Linked DNA regions of Drosophila melanogaster. The protein of the gene in region 2 purifies or fractionates together with the protein of the main gene of each other region. This does not show direct contact. Each region holds a gene or a part of one and is shown on either strand. Other genes may lie near its edges.

Evidence for each region.
Region 1: the proteins of Septin2 (region 2) and HIP-R purify together in Drosophila melanogaster (affinity purification with mass spectrometry, with the first as the bait; one large-scale study listed by BioGRID). This does not show direct contact.

The regions. Positions count from the first base shown.
Region 1 is NC_004354.4:3,786,206-3,794,056, forward strand, and holds HIP-R (Hsc/Hsp70-interacting protein related), read left to right. Parts: upstream 1-3,763; 5' UTR 3,764-3,871; exon of another isoform or gene 3,872-3,924; 5' UTR 3,925-3,958; coding exon 3,959-4,131; intron 4,132-4,211; coding exon 4,212-4,333; intron 4,334-4,550; coding exon 4,551-5,197; intron 5,198-5,271; coding exon 5,272-5,463; 3' UTR 5,464-6,272; downstream 6,273-7,851. Other genes in the region: Tlk (Tousled-like kinase), read left to right, coding at 1-199. UniProt on the Drosophila melanogaster protein: One HIP oligomer binds the ATPase domains of at least two Hsc70 molecules dependent on activation of the Hsc70 ATPase by Hsp40. Stabilizes the ADP state of Hsc70 that has a high affinity for substrate protein.
Region 2 is NT_033777.3:20,582,692-20,590,088, reverse strand, and holds Septin2 (septin 2), read left to right. Parts: upstream 1-1,732; 5' UTR 1,733-1,817; coding exon 1,818-1,965; exon of another isoform or gene 1,966-2,086; intron 2,087-2,093; exon of another isoform or gene 2,094-2,219; intron 2,220-2,631; coding exon 2,632-3,743; 3' UTR 3,744-3,960; downstream 3,961-7,397. Other genes in the region: Srp72 (signal recognition particle 72), read right to left, coding at 1-1, 64-1,091, 1,153-1,264; CG16953 (uncharacterized protein), read left to right, coding at 4,617-4,686, 4,801-4,952, 5,845-6,709, 6,773-6,892, 6,954-7,118, 7,183-7,291, 7,349-7,397. UniProt on the Drosophila melanogaster protein: Involved in cytokinesis.

The sequences.
Region 1 (7,851 bases), on a different chromosome or scaffold from region 2:
CAGGCACGAGTACATTCAGCCACCGATACCGAAACATGGGCGCGGTTCGCTCAATCAGCAACAGCAGGCGCAACAACAGCAGCAGCAACAACAGCAACAGCAGCAGCAACAGTCGTCGACGTCACAGGCCAATTCTACAGGCCAGACATCTTTCTCTGCCCACATGTTTGGCAATATGAATCAGTCGAGTTCGTCCTAGCTGCCAACCAAGCGCAATTCGAACTCATAATTCGCCGCCGCCGCAGTAGCAGCAGCTACATTAGCTGCCAGTAGTCAACAGCAACTTCAACACCAGCAACAGCAACTCCAAATCCAGCAATACCAGCAGAATCAGCAACTTCATTTGCAAAACAGCAGTAGCAATTATGCGGCCACGCTTCTAGATGCAGCGGCCTTTTGCTACGAAACCGTGATGGATGCAGCCCACTTCCAAAACAACAATAATAACAGCACCATCATCAAGAACAATATGCAGACAATGCCGGCAAACGCTGCCAATGCTGCTGCAGCTGCAGGGGGAGGGGGAACACCGACCTATCAGGGGAAATACAAGCGCTGGCAGCAGCAACAGTTACAACAGCAGGCGCAACTCCAACAGCAGCAGCACAAGCTGCTGTTGCAGCAAGAGCTGCTCTAAAATATGAAGGGAATGATGACAAGCGAGTTTAAGAGAACGAGGAGCTGCCTGCCACACTGCCGCCGTCAGCAATAACAACATCCCAAGAAAATTCACAGCGAGTCGCAAAAGCATCAACAAACAAAGCAAAAAACGCAAAAAAGGATTACAAAGACGCAGAGAATAGGGGACATTTGCAATGGGAAATAACAAATTATTGCATTATCTGCTGGATTGTGATTGTGGTTCAAACATTAAAAATACACTTACTCATACACACAAGGTAGACACTGCAGACTAATTTTGCCTTAAAAGAAACAAAACGAATAATGTTAACTGTAAATTTTCACTTTGTGTCCATGCATAGTTACTAGTAATGATGATATAAATATATAAATATATATAAAATATAAAAATTATATAAATGTATAAATTTATATTTATATATATATATATATATATATATATATATCTGCATAAACATTGAAGCATACTAGTAAATCTTTATAAATATATTTATATATATATTTATCTCTTCCTTTTAACGCTTTTAATCGGAAAAAACATCCCAATTATATTTTAATTCAATTTGAAATATAAAAGTCATTTTTGTTTGTTTTGTATCAAAATCCAAAAAAAATTGATTTAAATATAAAAATACCATAAACATTAACACCACACACACACACACACACACATATATATATATATATATATATATATATATATATACATATATATATACATTTGTATATAGTCGTATCTGAACCACAAACAAATCCACAGATAAAAAAAACTGAAAAATTCATAGAATCAAACCATTTTTTTATATGCCACAAAGAAAAGAAAATAAGTAGAAATGCAAGAAAAATCGAGAAAAAGCGTAATTCATGAGATCAGATCGGATCAGAAAAATCAACAGAAAATAAACCTATTTGAAGTAAAATACTTCTAAATACATAGTAAACTAATGTAATAGTTTTTATTAAAATTACACATATATGTATCGATATATATACATGTTTTTTTTTTTTTAATTTTAAAATTATAATTGTAATGCACTATGCGTAAATTGTATTAAATATTAATATCCAAGGCATATTAATAGAAATATATATACATATATAAAACCTGCAAAAAAAAAACATGAACTACCAAGCTAAATGTTTCAATAATATATAGATCTATATGTATGTAAAACCGATATGAAATCTGCCTACAGCCAGACAAAAAAAACCTTAAAGAGAAAGATCAGAAGAGGAACAGAAGAGTATGAGCGGGGAGTGAAAGATGCAAGATTCATCCAAAAGCGAAAAACATTTTTTTCTTAAGTCTACGCAAAACAAAATGAATGAAAAGTAACCCGAAATTAGTTTTTAGAGTATAAGTATAAAAAATGGAAAATATCGCGATAGAAAGAAACAAAAATGGACGCAGATAAGGACGGCAAGCAGAACAAGAGTAATAAAGCAGCGGCAAGAACTCCCTAAAAATAGCAAAGAGCATTGTAAATATTTATATAAATAATTTATGCCTAATTAAAGTTTAAATTAATGAAGAAAACCAGCAAAAAAACATAAAAAACCAGAAGAACCATTTCAGATTTGTATGCAAATTTGTATATGTACGTACTTTCCTTTAATTTTAGCCAATCAGTTTGTAAGATTAAATTTTTTTTTTGCATCTCTATAAAGAATAATGATATGAGGATAATGATTCCGATTTTTTTTTCCGTTTAATGTAACCGTTAGAATTAGCCCATAATGGTCGATATCTAAATGTGTGTGTATATCGATGTGATGTCATCGATTGTCGATAACGATTGGATGCGAGTGTGTGTTAATTTAATTTGATAAAAGATAAAGGAAAGCAAGGAATGTGAAGATAATGAAAGGAGATGCATAGAGAATGAGAGCGAATCTATCTATTATATAATTATGTAAAATGCACATCTTTAAATTATAAATTATACATATTTAAAAGGAAACTATTATTATTATTTTGATTACCATTATCATTATTTTTTATTATCACTTAACGGTTTCGGTTTGATCCACAGCGAAACCAACAACAACCAAGAAACAGAAACAACAAAAAGAGAAACAAAATAAACAAGCGAAATGTTTGATAAAAAAAACCACGAGATGTTTTAATTTATTTGTCTTTAATTCTTCGATTTTATTGAGTTTTTCATAGAGAAAGTTGTCACACTCAAGAACACACACGCAAGCGTATAAAGCTAAACAAATTAATACCTACTAAGTGTTTAAATAGTACTAAACGAATCAAAATATAAATACTTAAAAAGAAAAAAAAACGAAAATAAAAATAAAAACAGCAGCAGAAAAAAACGATGAGACAGTTGAGCAGACGAGAAAAACAAAGCCCATTAAATTATTTGTTGAGTATTTTATTAAAAAATAATTACGATAATAATTAAAAAGTTTAAATTGAACGAATTACGAAAAACAAACTGAATATACATATATGTGTGCATATATACATATATGTATGTATTATATATAAACAAATTATTTAATAGTTATGCTAAAAAATTATTTAAAGTGAACGGATATGAAAAATATTTGTATGCGTGCGAGCACGGAGAGAAGGGCACTCAGAATAGGCCATCGACACCACCCACTCCCTTCCGATACCCGAACATCACCACCAGTTTTCACCATTTTCTGACCCTTAACCCCTTCAACCAGACACACACCAAACACAAGAAAAGGCGAAGAAAGCCGAAAAAAAAACAATGCAAACACGAAATAGGCGGCGACGACAGAGATAAGCGCGAAGAAGATACTAAATCAATAAGTAAACATAAAAATTAATTAATAAATTAATTCCAAAACAAAATGAAAAAAGCTAAAAAAAAAACATCAAGAAAACAAAAGACAAAAGCAAACAAAAAACATGACGAAACATTGAAAATAAAAAAATACTAAAATGATTAACAGAAAACTGTTTTAATGTCAATGGGGGCAGACATAAACTTCTTCAGCAATAGTTATGGACTTAATTGTGGCTCATTACATTCTCGATCCTATGTGAATATATATGTATTTAGTTTTGGGGTATGTGGCGGAAAATGGCTGTTATCTTTTTAAAAGTTGTCACATTTTCCAGCACTATCGTACGCACAAAATACTGAAAAATACAAGAGCGAAGCGATAAATACCGTCGATTAATTCTCAGTACTTTTTCATGGTATTTATGCATACCAATCGATAGGGCAGAGCAAAAGTGGACGTAAAGCTAAGCAAATATTGCTTATTAATAATATTAATATATTAATATATCAGATCTGAAAACATCGAGACAAAACGGAATTCAGAAATGGCTTTCACAATGCAAACCGGGGATCTGAAGAAGCTGAAGTACTTCATCGACTTTGCGCTTGAGAATCCCACCTTCTTGAACATGCCGCAGCTGCAGTTCGTCAAAGATTTCGTGGAGAAGTTTGGTGGCACGGTGCCGCCTGGCCAATTCAACGGTGGCAGCGCCGGAGGGTAAGTTAACCGAACTATTTGACCAATTTTCAAAACAACACGATTGTATGATTTGCTCATCCCGCGGCTTGTTCTTCCAGCAAGTGCCCATTCGGCGGTGTTGCTGGTGCCAAGGCCAACGAGCCGGCCAATGCCCCCGAGGATAGCGAGGACGAAAAGTCCCTCTCCGATCCTGAGTCGGACGTGGAGCTGGACATGGAGGGTGAGTGTGCAAATTTTGCCGAGTCACGTGGTCATTGGGGGTCACAACCCTGGACTTTGATGCGTTGCTGTCGCAGTGCTGGCAGTTGCTTTATCTTATATCCTTTCGACACTGCAAACTTAGCGTTTACCCAAATTCGAATCCTGCAGTATTAATATATGTAATACGCCAATTAAAACTATGTATCTTCTATCCGTATTACTTCCGACGCCTTCAGGTGTGATCGAGGCGGACAGCGACCCCGCCCAACCCATGGGCAACTACAGCAAGAAGGCCACCGAAGAGGAGGTGGAGCAGGCGAGCGAGCTGCGCGCCCAGGCGGCCTCCGCTTACGGCCAGCAGAAGTTCGACGAGGCCATCGCCTTGTACACCAAGGCCATTGAACTGAGCCCGGGTAATGCCCTTTTCCACGCTAAGCGTGGTCAGGCCTTCCTCAAGCTGAAGAAGCCGAATGCCTGCATTCGGGACTGCGACGTGGCGCTGGAACTCAACTCGGATTTGGCGGCTGGCTACAAGTTCAGGGGACGCGCCCGTCGCCTCCTCGGAGATTTTGAGCTGGCTGCCCATGATTTGCGCCAAGCATGCAAGCTGGACTTTGACGAGGAGACAGACGAGTGGCTAAAGGAGGTCACTCCGAATGCCAAGAAAATCGAGCAGCATCGCTTGAAGCAGGAGCGTCGCCAGGCAGAGCGTAAGATCAAGGAACGCCAGCGGGATCAGAGGCGCGCACGTAAGGAGCAGGAAAAGCACAATGCCAGCTCTGGTGGATCATCTGGAGAATTTTCCGGTGGGAATCCTGGTAACGGAAATATGTCTGATATACTGGGCGCCATGTCAGATCCCGAGGTGTCAGCCGCCATTCAGGTTCGTGAATACTACTTTTCTATTTCTAATACAAATGCAGTAATCATATCGTTGTTATTTATTAACTTTCGTAGGACATTTTGTCAAATCCGGGTAACATCACAAAGTACGCGTCGAACCCGAAGATATACAACCTTATCAAGAAGATTGTGCCCGGTGGAGATGTGGGTGCTGCCTTTGGCCAAGCGGGTGAAAAGGCTGGAAAGCCGAGCGAGCCTAAGCCTAAAAAGGACTCCGCCGACTTCGTCGATGACGGTTTGGACTAAGGTTTAGAAATGGGGCAGTAGTAAGACTGAAACATGCGTCGATAAAAAGAAGTTAACAACCAATTACACGAAATCGAGCGAGATTACAAAACAACAAAGAAAGAGAAAGCAACAGAGTGCGGTGAAGAAGATGGACTACACGAAAAACAAAAGGGAAAGCGGCTGCCTTACACATTTTTGCAGCTGAGAAAAAACAAACATTTCCTAAGCTTTAACTTAACCAACACGTAAAAGAACGGGCGACAATGGAGAAAATTCAAATATTCAAAATACTACAAGCAGTCAGAAGAATAAGCAACATTTATTTAAATCGAGAAGAAAGAGATGTTGGAGATGCTGGAGACGCTTCTTCACATATTATTGAAAAGCATACTTGCGGCCATTAAAGTGGCAAATGAAACTATACAAAGGAGCTAGAATATGCTTAAAAACTTATCACATTTGCAGTTCACAGGTAAATCAAAAGATTGTCCTGTGACGAACAAAACATAAATGTTTAGACGTCAAGTCAGATTCAAGGGTGCCGATCGATCTAGTTGAACTAAAGCTCGAGAAACAACCAAAAGAAAATAAAAAATATATATATGTTCAATAATATTAGCCTAAATTACCGAGAACGAAGAAACGGATAAAACTAATCGCATCATTTGGTCAAACAAAATTGTACTGAGTAGGATTTAAATCATATTGTAAGCAAATGCATTTAGCCCCCCAACATGAAAGCAATCGCCCATTCATTCACACACTCATTCACACACTCATTCAACCAGTGATCAATGGAAATAAATAAACGAATCAACAAGAACCCGAATTGCTAATGTCCATATTTTTTGGTAAACGGGTAAAAGGGGAGATACTTTTGCTTTTTTTTCGAGCGGGTTGGACAGATGGAGCCGTAGTCCCTTAAACTATCCGGCGCATCACCTGTGTGGGTTGCTCACTTTGTATGAAGGACATTGGGTACGCATGGTGTATGAAAGCGTCGATTAGACGCTTCAATGGCTGCACCCTGCACCCTGGATCCAGAACCTATCTACCGCACCCCGCCCCATGTCAGCGCGAAATTGGCTAACGGACAGCTTGGCGCACATGTTCGATTATGGCCAAATCGAGCGACCAAGCAGAACCAGCGGCACATGACCTGGGCTCAGCGATGCCAAGACCTGGGTGGTTGTACCTAGAGGTACTTGATTGCTTTTTAAACTCAGCTTGGTACAGCGTACACGACTGATTATTTAGAAGCTATGACAGCTTTCTTTGCTTTGATATTTTTCATATTTATATATAAATTATAAATATATATTTATAAGCAGGTGATATGGTTGAAACATATATCAACGAATATGTCAAATATAATACAGTGAAGTGTCTGCATTATTTTATTGTACCTGCGCCATCACAGGTACGGCTCCTCTTTCCATCGACTGCAGACGTACCGCTTATGTGCATGACTGGGTGTCCGGGGTGGTGGATGTGAATGTGGATGAGTGGCAGGAGGGCGCAGGCGCAGCTCAGCCCAACAGCCAAGTTGGTCTGGACTCCTGGCGGCCCATCGCATTCCGTGGCCAGTCGCAGCGCGAGACGGTTAGCCAGTTAGCCAGTGCGGACCGACTAATTCCCAATTTCCGCTCTTGACTAAACTAAAGATTGAGAAATAAAGAAAGAAATATCCTTCGTCCGTCCCCCAGACGAAGCAGGTCAATTTTTTTTTCGTGTTACTTGCTCTTTTTCGCCAAGTGTGAGTTGTGTGTTTTGGCTTGGCTAACGTGATTGAAATCGAGACAGCCGGGACATCATGATTGTCAACATGCCCGTCAATGGAACGGGCAGTGCATCCAGCCCAACATCGAATCCCAGCAGCAACAACAACAACAATAGCAGTACCACCAATCAAAATGATACGAACACTAATCTTCCCGGTGATTACAACTTTCTTAAGCGCAAGTTCGACGATCAGGAGGATTTGGCTTTGGGCCACGACTACGAGCCCATCGGGGCAAATCCCTGGAAGAAGCGACACTTGGACTACGATGCCGGGGACCTGCACTTCCACCTGCAGCTGGAACAGCCACCTAGTAATCCGCCAACCAACGCTGCACCCGCCCAATCCTCGACGTCCTTCATCAACGATCTCTTTTCCTATGAGAGCAGTCTTCTGGTGCCCGCCGTCGCCTATTCGCACTGTCCACCATCGAGTGCTCCATTGGATGACAATGGTGGTTGGACCGGTGGCGAGCTGCTGGAGCTGGATCATCGTTATAACTCCGGCCTGCAGGCGGAACTGGGGCAATTGAATGCCACTTTGCCGCCGCCACCACCAACATCATCATCAGCTCAAAATGCATCCAATCATACGCAGCAGTCAACACAACAGAATGTCATTCCTGG
Region 2 (7,397 bases):
CCTAAAGCAACGAAATACAAAAAATAAGATTCCATTTTCGACTTACGACTTATGGCAACTTACCTGAAGCAGCTGAAGTTGTATGATGGCAAATTTGCTGACGAATTCGTGCGACTTGTGGGCTGCAGCGAACTTTTGTAGCTGCTCGATGGCCTCCTTGTGCTTGCGATCTTTGGCCAGCTGGGTGCAGCGAATGAGCAGCGCCTCGAATTCCACCTGCGGGTAGGTCTGAGCTAGCTTTTGGCTAAGCTGTTGCACTTGGTCGCCGGCATTAGTGTAAAGTGCTAGCAGACAGTTGTTGAGGGCTATGACCTGCTTCTGGCGCGAGGTGAGCCTAGACTCACAGGCGTCGGCTAGGGCAGCGCGTATCTTCTTCTTGGAATCGAAGACGTTCTGGTCCTTATTGACCACCACCAAGTTGTTGCTTGCCACGGCCACCAGGGCTGCGTCCTTTGGCTTATGACGCAGGCAGTCCGCGTAGATGCTGGACGCCTCCTTGGTCTTGCCCTGCAGTTGGAGGACATAGGCCAGTTGGACGCGAATGACGTCTACCTCTTCAATGATCTCCTCCTCGGAGGCACACTCATCCTCAAGACAGAGCTTCTCGCTGGTGCGCAACTTGCGCTCGGCTTCAGCATACTTCTGCCGATTAGCCTGGATGCACGCGCTGTTGAAGTACTGCTCGTAGGTGTCTTCCGGCACCTCGGGCACCTCCTTGGTCTGATCCACAGCCAAGTTGGCGGCCACGGCGCTGAGATTGGTCCGACGCTCTTCCTCGTACTCGTCACTGGTGTTCTTAATGATGTCGCGATAGGAGTCTAGGCACTCATCGTAGCGCTCCAAGCGGTACAGGACCTGGGTTCGGAGCTCCTTAAGGTTCGGAGGCAGGGGCTGCAGACCCGCATCGTCTATGGTCTTAAGCGCTTGCTGCTGCTTGTTAAGTTGGTACTCGCAGTAGGCCTTCTCAAAGAAAAGCGAGGACAGTCGATTTTTCTCAATAAACTTGTAGGCCTCCTCGAACTTGGAAAGCTGCACCAGGCAGACTACCTTGCAGTGCAGGGCGGTGGGATCGTCGGGCGCTACGCCTAGGACTATGAGAGATCATAGGGAGTCATCTTCTGGATTATAACCTCGGTAATCTGAAAAACTTACTGCGATTCACTGCCTTGACAGCCTTGTCAAACTCCTGGTTATTGCCGAACTTATTCACATCAGCGTAAGCCGCCTTTATGAGCGCCTCCTTGGGATTAGCGTCCTTTGACATCCTGTTTGCTCAGCACGTTAGTGGGTGGTAATATATATTTTATTCACTGACTTAAACTTTCGACTTTCCGTTTAACATGCAAGTTTTTACAGCTGTAGACACATCAGCAATGCGGACCTGCCAGATCGCTTCTGTGTGCAACCAGAGATGCCAGATGGCGGAAACAGTTAAGACATTTAATTTTTTAAACTATTTACATTTAATTAATAACTTATGCATAAATATCTATGAATGGGACATTTTATTATTAGTTATTAAAAACTGAAACGCTAAATGATGTGTACTAAAATCTTAATCCATGAAGTGCATTTCACTGTTTGATTATCAATTTCGTTTCACTATTTGCCATTATGGCACATGTAATTCATTAAATAATTGTTTTTTAATTCTTTGTTAAGTTATAATTTTCTTGTTCATCTATATCCACACACTTCTTTGAGCCGCTGGTATTTTGGGCTCCGCGTATCTGGCCACACTTGCATATTCGCTGGCGACGCCTTTGATCCAAACTCTGCGCCCGGATTATTGGATTATTTGACTTGACTATTGGAAAATGTCCGTTGAGGTGGATTTCGTCGACAAGAAGGAGGTGCACCTCCGCACCCTGAAGCAGTCCGGTCACGTGGGATTCGACAGCTTGCCTGACCAACTGGTCAACAAGAGTGTCCAGAATGGATTCGTCTTCAACGTCATGTGTATAGGTGTGTATATGCGGGTGAACTTTGCGTGTGTGCGTGTGTATGCGGCACAGTGAATCAACCGAAGTTTTGCTTGCATACAAAACAGTGGTGACCAAAGCAATAGCACTGATTTTTTATATTCCATAAAGGAGTCACTTGGAGAAGGTTTCAAACTTTTGTTGCTTCTTAACTCAAAGATGGCTTTGTTTGCACACCAATTAGAAATTGGACATACAGTGGTAGCTCGATGCAGAGAGAATGAAATAAAAACCGAGGTGTGTGCTTTTTATTTGTTAAACTTTAATACGAGTAAAATCAGTAAAATCATATTAGAAATACAATTATTTATTGAAAGCAAAGACTATTGCACAGCACATCTTGAAATAAAGATGCTATTGTTTTGAACACCGCTGTGCTATGTACTCAAGTGTCTCATGTTGGAGTGCATTGCTCAGATAAAGTGAATCACTTAGGTACATAAAAGCGGGTAAACAATTGAAATAACCAGACGCCCAGATACGATTAGTATGCAAAGTGGCCGGCAATCGATTGCCTCCGCCACTTTCTACAATTTCACCCTGACACCAATGCCGCAGTGCTTCTATGGCCAATTGAGCTCACTTAGGCTAAGGTTCCCCAAATCTGGCACAAATCTGACCCGCATTTCGAAATCTTTACGCTCCGCAGGCGAAACCGGACTGGGCAAGTCGACGCTGATGGACACGCTGTTCAACACCAGCTTCGAGTCCACGCCGAGTCCCCACACTTTGCCGAGCGTCAAGTTGAAGGCACACACCTACGAGCTGCAGGAGAGCAATGTGCGACTCAAGCTCACCATCTGCGACACGGTTGGCTACGGCGATCAGATCAACAAGGACGACTCGTTCAAGGCGGTGGTGGACTACATCGACGCACAGTTCGAGAACTATCTGCAGGAGGAGCTGAAGATCAAGCGATCGCTGGTGACATGCCACGACAGCCGCATCCACATCTGCCTCTACTTTATTTGCCCCACTGGGCACGGCCTCAAATCGCTGGACCTGGTGTGCATGAAGAAGCTGGACAGCAAGGTGAACATAATTCCGGTGATTGCCAAGGCGGATACCATTTCCAAGGTTGAGCTACAGCGCTTCAAGGCGAAGATCATTCAGGAGCTAAACGCCAATGGAGTGCACATCTACCAGTTCCCCACCGACGATGAGACGGTGGCCGAGACCAACACCAGCATGAACTCGCACATTCCCTTCGCCGTGGTGGGCAGCACGGAGTTTATTAAGGTGGGCAACAAGCTCATCCGCGCTCGCCAGTACCCCTGGGGCACGGTGCAGGTGGAGAACGAGACGCACTGCGACTTTGTGAAGCTGCGCGAGATGCTCATTCGCACCAACATGGAGGATATGCGCGAAAAGACACACACGCGCCACTACGAGCTGTATCGCCAGAAGAGGCTGGAGCAAATGGGCTTCAGCGATGTGGACAGCGACAACAAGCCCATCTCGTTCCAGCAGACGTTCGAGGCAAAGCGCTCCAACCATTTGGCCGAGCTGCAGTCCAAGGAGGAGGAGGTTCGTCAGATGTTCGTGCAGCGCGTTAAGGAGAAGGAGGCCGAGCTGAAGGAGAGCGAGAAGGACCTGCACGCCAAGTTCGAGAAGCTAAAGCGGGATCACGCCGAGGAGAAGCGCAAGCTGGAAGAGTCGCGCAAGGCGCTCGAGGAGGACTACCTTGACTTCCAGCGGCGCAAGCAGCAGTTGGCCACCGCCCACCACACGCTCACCCTCGGCAAGAGCAAGAAGAAGTAGAATCCGGCGCCGCCGCCTCACAATGTATTGAGAATTCTGTGCGGTTCGCTTATCCCAAAGTAATTATTGCTTTCTCATCTCGTTGTCTTTCATTTGTACTATTAAGTTTACTTCAAATATTAACATATACACAACTACACGCATATGTACGCAGGCATATAATGATTATGTATTTACAACTAACGAATAAATCGAACTTAGTATTTTAACAAAGTAGAAAAGAGCTGTTTGCCGGAAACTTGTATTCAAAAAATTGTAAACTTTTGTCGATATAATGTGTTTTTAAGTGTGTATTGAAGGCACCGCTGGATAAAGACAACAAAATAACATTTTATCTAAGATTATCCTGGTTTCCTTAGAAGTCACTGATTGATATGTATCAATACATATTAAGTTTATATTTTCCTTGAATTTCTTTTAAGCTCCGCTTTTTAAATACAAAAACATGGTAATTTGAATTTCAAGATTGGCGGGCTTTTCGTAGGACGTAAGTGTAGTACGGCCTTATTTTACTTGTCTTGTGCTTGCCACCTGGTCACACTGTTACCCACTCATTCACTGCAGGCTGCAAAAATTATAGAACAAATTAAAAACGCAATAATAGAATCACCGCAGCGAATTCGACGCAATCACGGAGTCCAGTGCTCCGTAACCCAAACGAAAGCAATTAACCGTGTTCAACGTAGAGAATAGTCCATGAAAGTGGGTGTATCCGTTGGCAAAAAGCAAGATACCCCTTTGTGTTTGTTTTTTGTTCGTTATAATTTTGTTTGTCGCTCGGTTTGGATTGCGATTTAATGGTAAGGGAGGGGACTCGCCGCAGGGGTGCTCCCAAGTGATTTTCCATAGCCAGCGCCGCCGAGTGGACGGGAAATGCCAATCGGCATGACGAACATGTCGCCAGCAGCGTCATCACTGGTTTTCCTCGCTCTTCTGCAGACAGGTATGGATAATGCTAATGGTGGCAGTGGGTAGTGGTTAATGGTTAATGGCTGGTGCAGTGTGGATATGGTAGTCCAGAAACGGGGTCATTAATGATTTCCCTCCGACATTGCAGTTACCTGCTACACCGTCATCATCACTGCTCCCGAACAGGCCCTCATCGGATCCACCATCAATGTGTCCGCCCAGCTCTTCGATGGCGACAAACCGGCTGACGGAGGCAGGCCCTACAGGTTCACATGGTCCGACAGTGCTGGCCATCGAAAGGTAACGATTCCACCTCCATTTCCCCAACTGCTCCCCCTGCAGAACGTGTTCAAACAAAGAAAACGGTGACACGACTAATTGCCTGCGAATGCAAACGCCAATAGTGCAAGCAAATCCACCAGCCTAGGGTTCGCATCTACGCCCATCAAACTGGCTCATTAAAATGGTCAGGAGAACTAGTACTAGGTGGTTTGCCTGCCATCAACGCAGCAGAACAGTATTTCATTAATGCAAATATCTCTGATTACAAAATATTTTGAAAGTTCTCGATTTCGGTTAAATTTAAAGTTTTAAGCTCCTGCTAATAGACCATTACAAAAGTTTGTTCTAAATCGATATCACAACTCGTAATTGCTAAACAAGAATTACTCTTTAGATCAAAAGACGTAACTGTTTTTATTCAAAATGCATTTTCAAGAAAAAATCTTTAGAAACCTTATTTCAAATTCAAACTTAAGATTTTTATATATAAGCTTATTAACTAACTAACATGAGCATATGTAATATTGAACATAATTATACTGATCCGTATCTGTTTCTTTAAATATTATCAAATGAAATTATCAATGTTAATGATTCTTATTCCATAGAAGTCATAAATATTTTATTATTTACGATGACTAAAAACACATTTTAAACACCCTAAGCTAGAGCTTACATATACAAACAGATGCGAATACCAGTTCTAATCTCAGCCCTGTGCCATCAATTGAAATGGCGTCATTTGAATGGTAATTTTGCACAATTACTATTAAGCGACAGCTTTTCCGATTGTGCCTGGTACGTGGCCATATCAGTGCCAAACGGTGGCTGCTATTGTGAACGAATTTGCATGCAGAGTGGCTTAAAAGTGATACCAAATAACACTAAACACTTCTCTTTGTGCCCACAGGTGATTGAAACGAACAGCGTTAGCAGCAATTGGTCTGTGGTCTTCACGCAAGAACAACCGGCGACGCATGTCATCAAGGTGGAAGTGGAGAAGTTCGTCACATTTTTTTGGGTGACGGAGGCTAAGGCCTCGAGGGGAATCAAGCTGGACAGCTTGCTCGGCGGCAGCCTGGAGCTGATTCAGAACAATGTGATGCGACCCCATGAGTTTGTGTCCACCCAGGAGGCGGTGAATCACAGCGTATCACTTTCCGATGCGGACCTACTTTTTCTGCAGTCGAAGGGTTATCGCATTCTGACGTATTGGTTTCAGAACTGCACATATCTCGGCATGTCCAGTGCGTTGGACTATGTGGCCACATATCCGAAAGCTGAGCAATATTATGACATGGAGGCGTTAGTGGTGGCTTCACTGGAACTTCCGCCGGAGCCGACGCCCTCAACTACGACGACCACCACCACAACAACCACAACTACCACTACCACCACCACTACAACTCCAGCAACAACAACCACTTCAACAACACCTGCCACAACGACCACTCCAAAAACCACAACATCATCCACAAGTACAACGACCACAACGACTCCAAAGCCGCCGGCACGATCCAAACGTGACTTAATCCAGGCCATGCATGCCAACGCTGCTCTTCTAGGCTTGAACTTAACCAGTGCGCTAAACCAGCAAAAGTCATCCGCTGGGAATGTGTCCGTGGCTTTGGTCAATCCGCTGGGAGTGCGAAGGGTGTCCAAGCTCACACTGGTGCCCGGTCTGCAGCCGCCTTTCGATTGCGTGAGCAAAAAGTTCGTCGCCCAGGACCCCAAGCAGATATACGGCTACTACCAGCATCGCGTTGTATCCAAGGGTACGATTATTTAATGATTTTTATGAGCGATTCTCCTCATATTTAAAACTGAAAACCCTTTAGATCCTATAACCGGTTTCGGCACCACGGGCAAGAATTGGTTGCAACACTGGGAGGTGCTTAAACTCAATGTCAACTGCAAAGGATCGCCGCCGTTTGAGCTTTGCACTCGAGTCTTCACTGGTGAGTGGCATTGCAATAGCTCAAGGCTACGTGTTATAATGACTGTCATGTTTCCATGTAGCTCCTTACAACTCCACGGGCAATGAGACCTGCGATCAGTATGAGCCGATAGAGACGTGCTCGTATGAGTATATGCGTTACTTCAGTGAAAGCAAGACCATTCTGTTCTTCATACGCAACGAGGTCTCCCAAACACTTAATCAGGTCACCATAAACATGTATGAAGGTGGGTAAATCGAAGTTCGTTTAAAATTAACTACTTACAATTGATTGTTAATTTTTCTATGCAGCTCAGCGTCAATCTCAGCTTTCGGTTGTAGTTGTGCCCGTAAGCTGCACTTTGGTGGCGGTGATTCTTGTTGTTTTCGGCGTGGCCTACTATATTCAACGGGGAAATCGGTAAGCACTGACGAATTACCAATGGAAACGCTTTCTACCAATTGTTTCGCTTTGCAGCTTCAATGTTGAAGTGGCCGATTTCAACTTCGGCGACACACAATCGGTG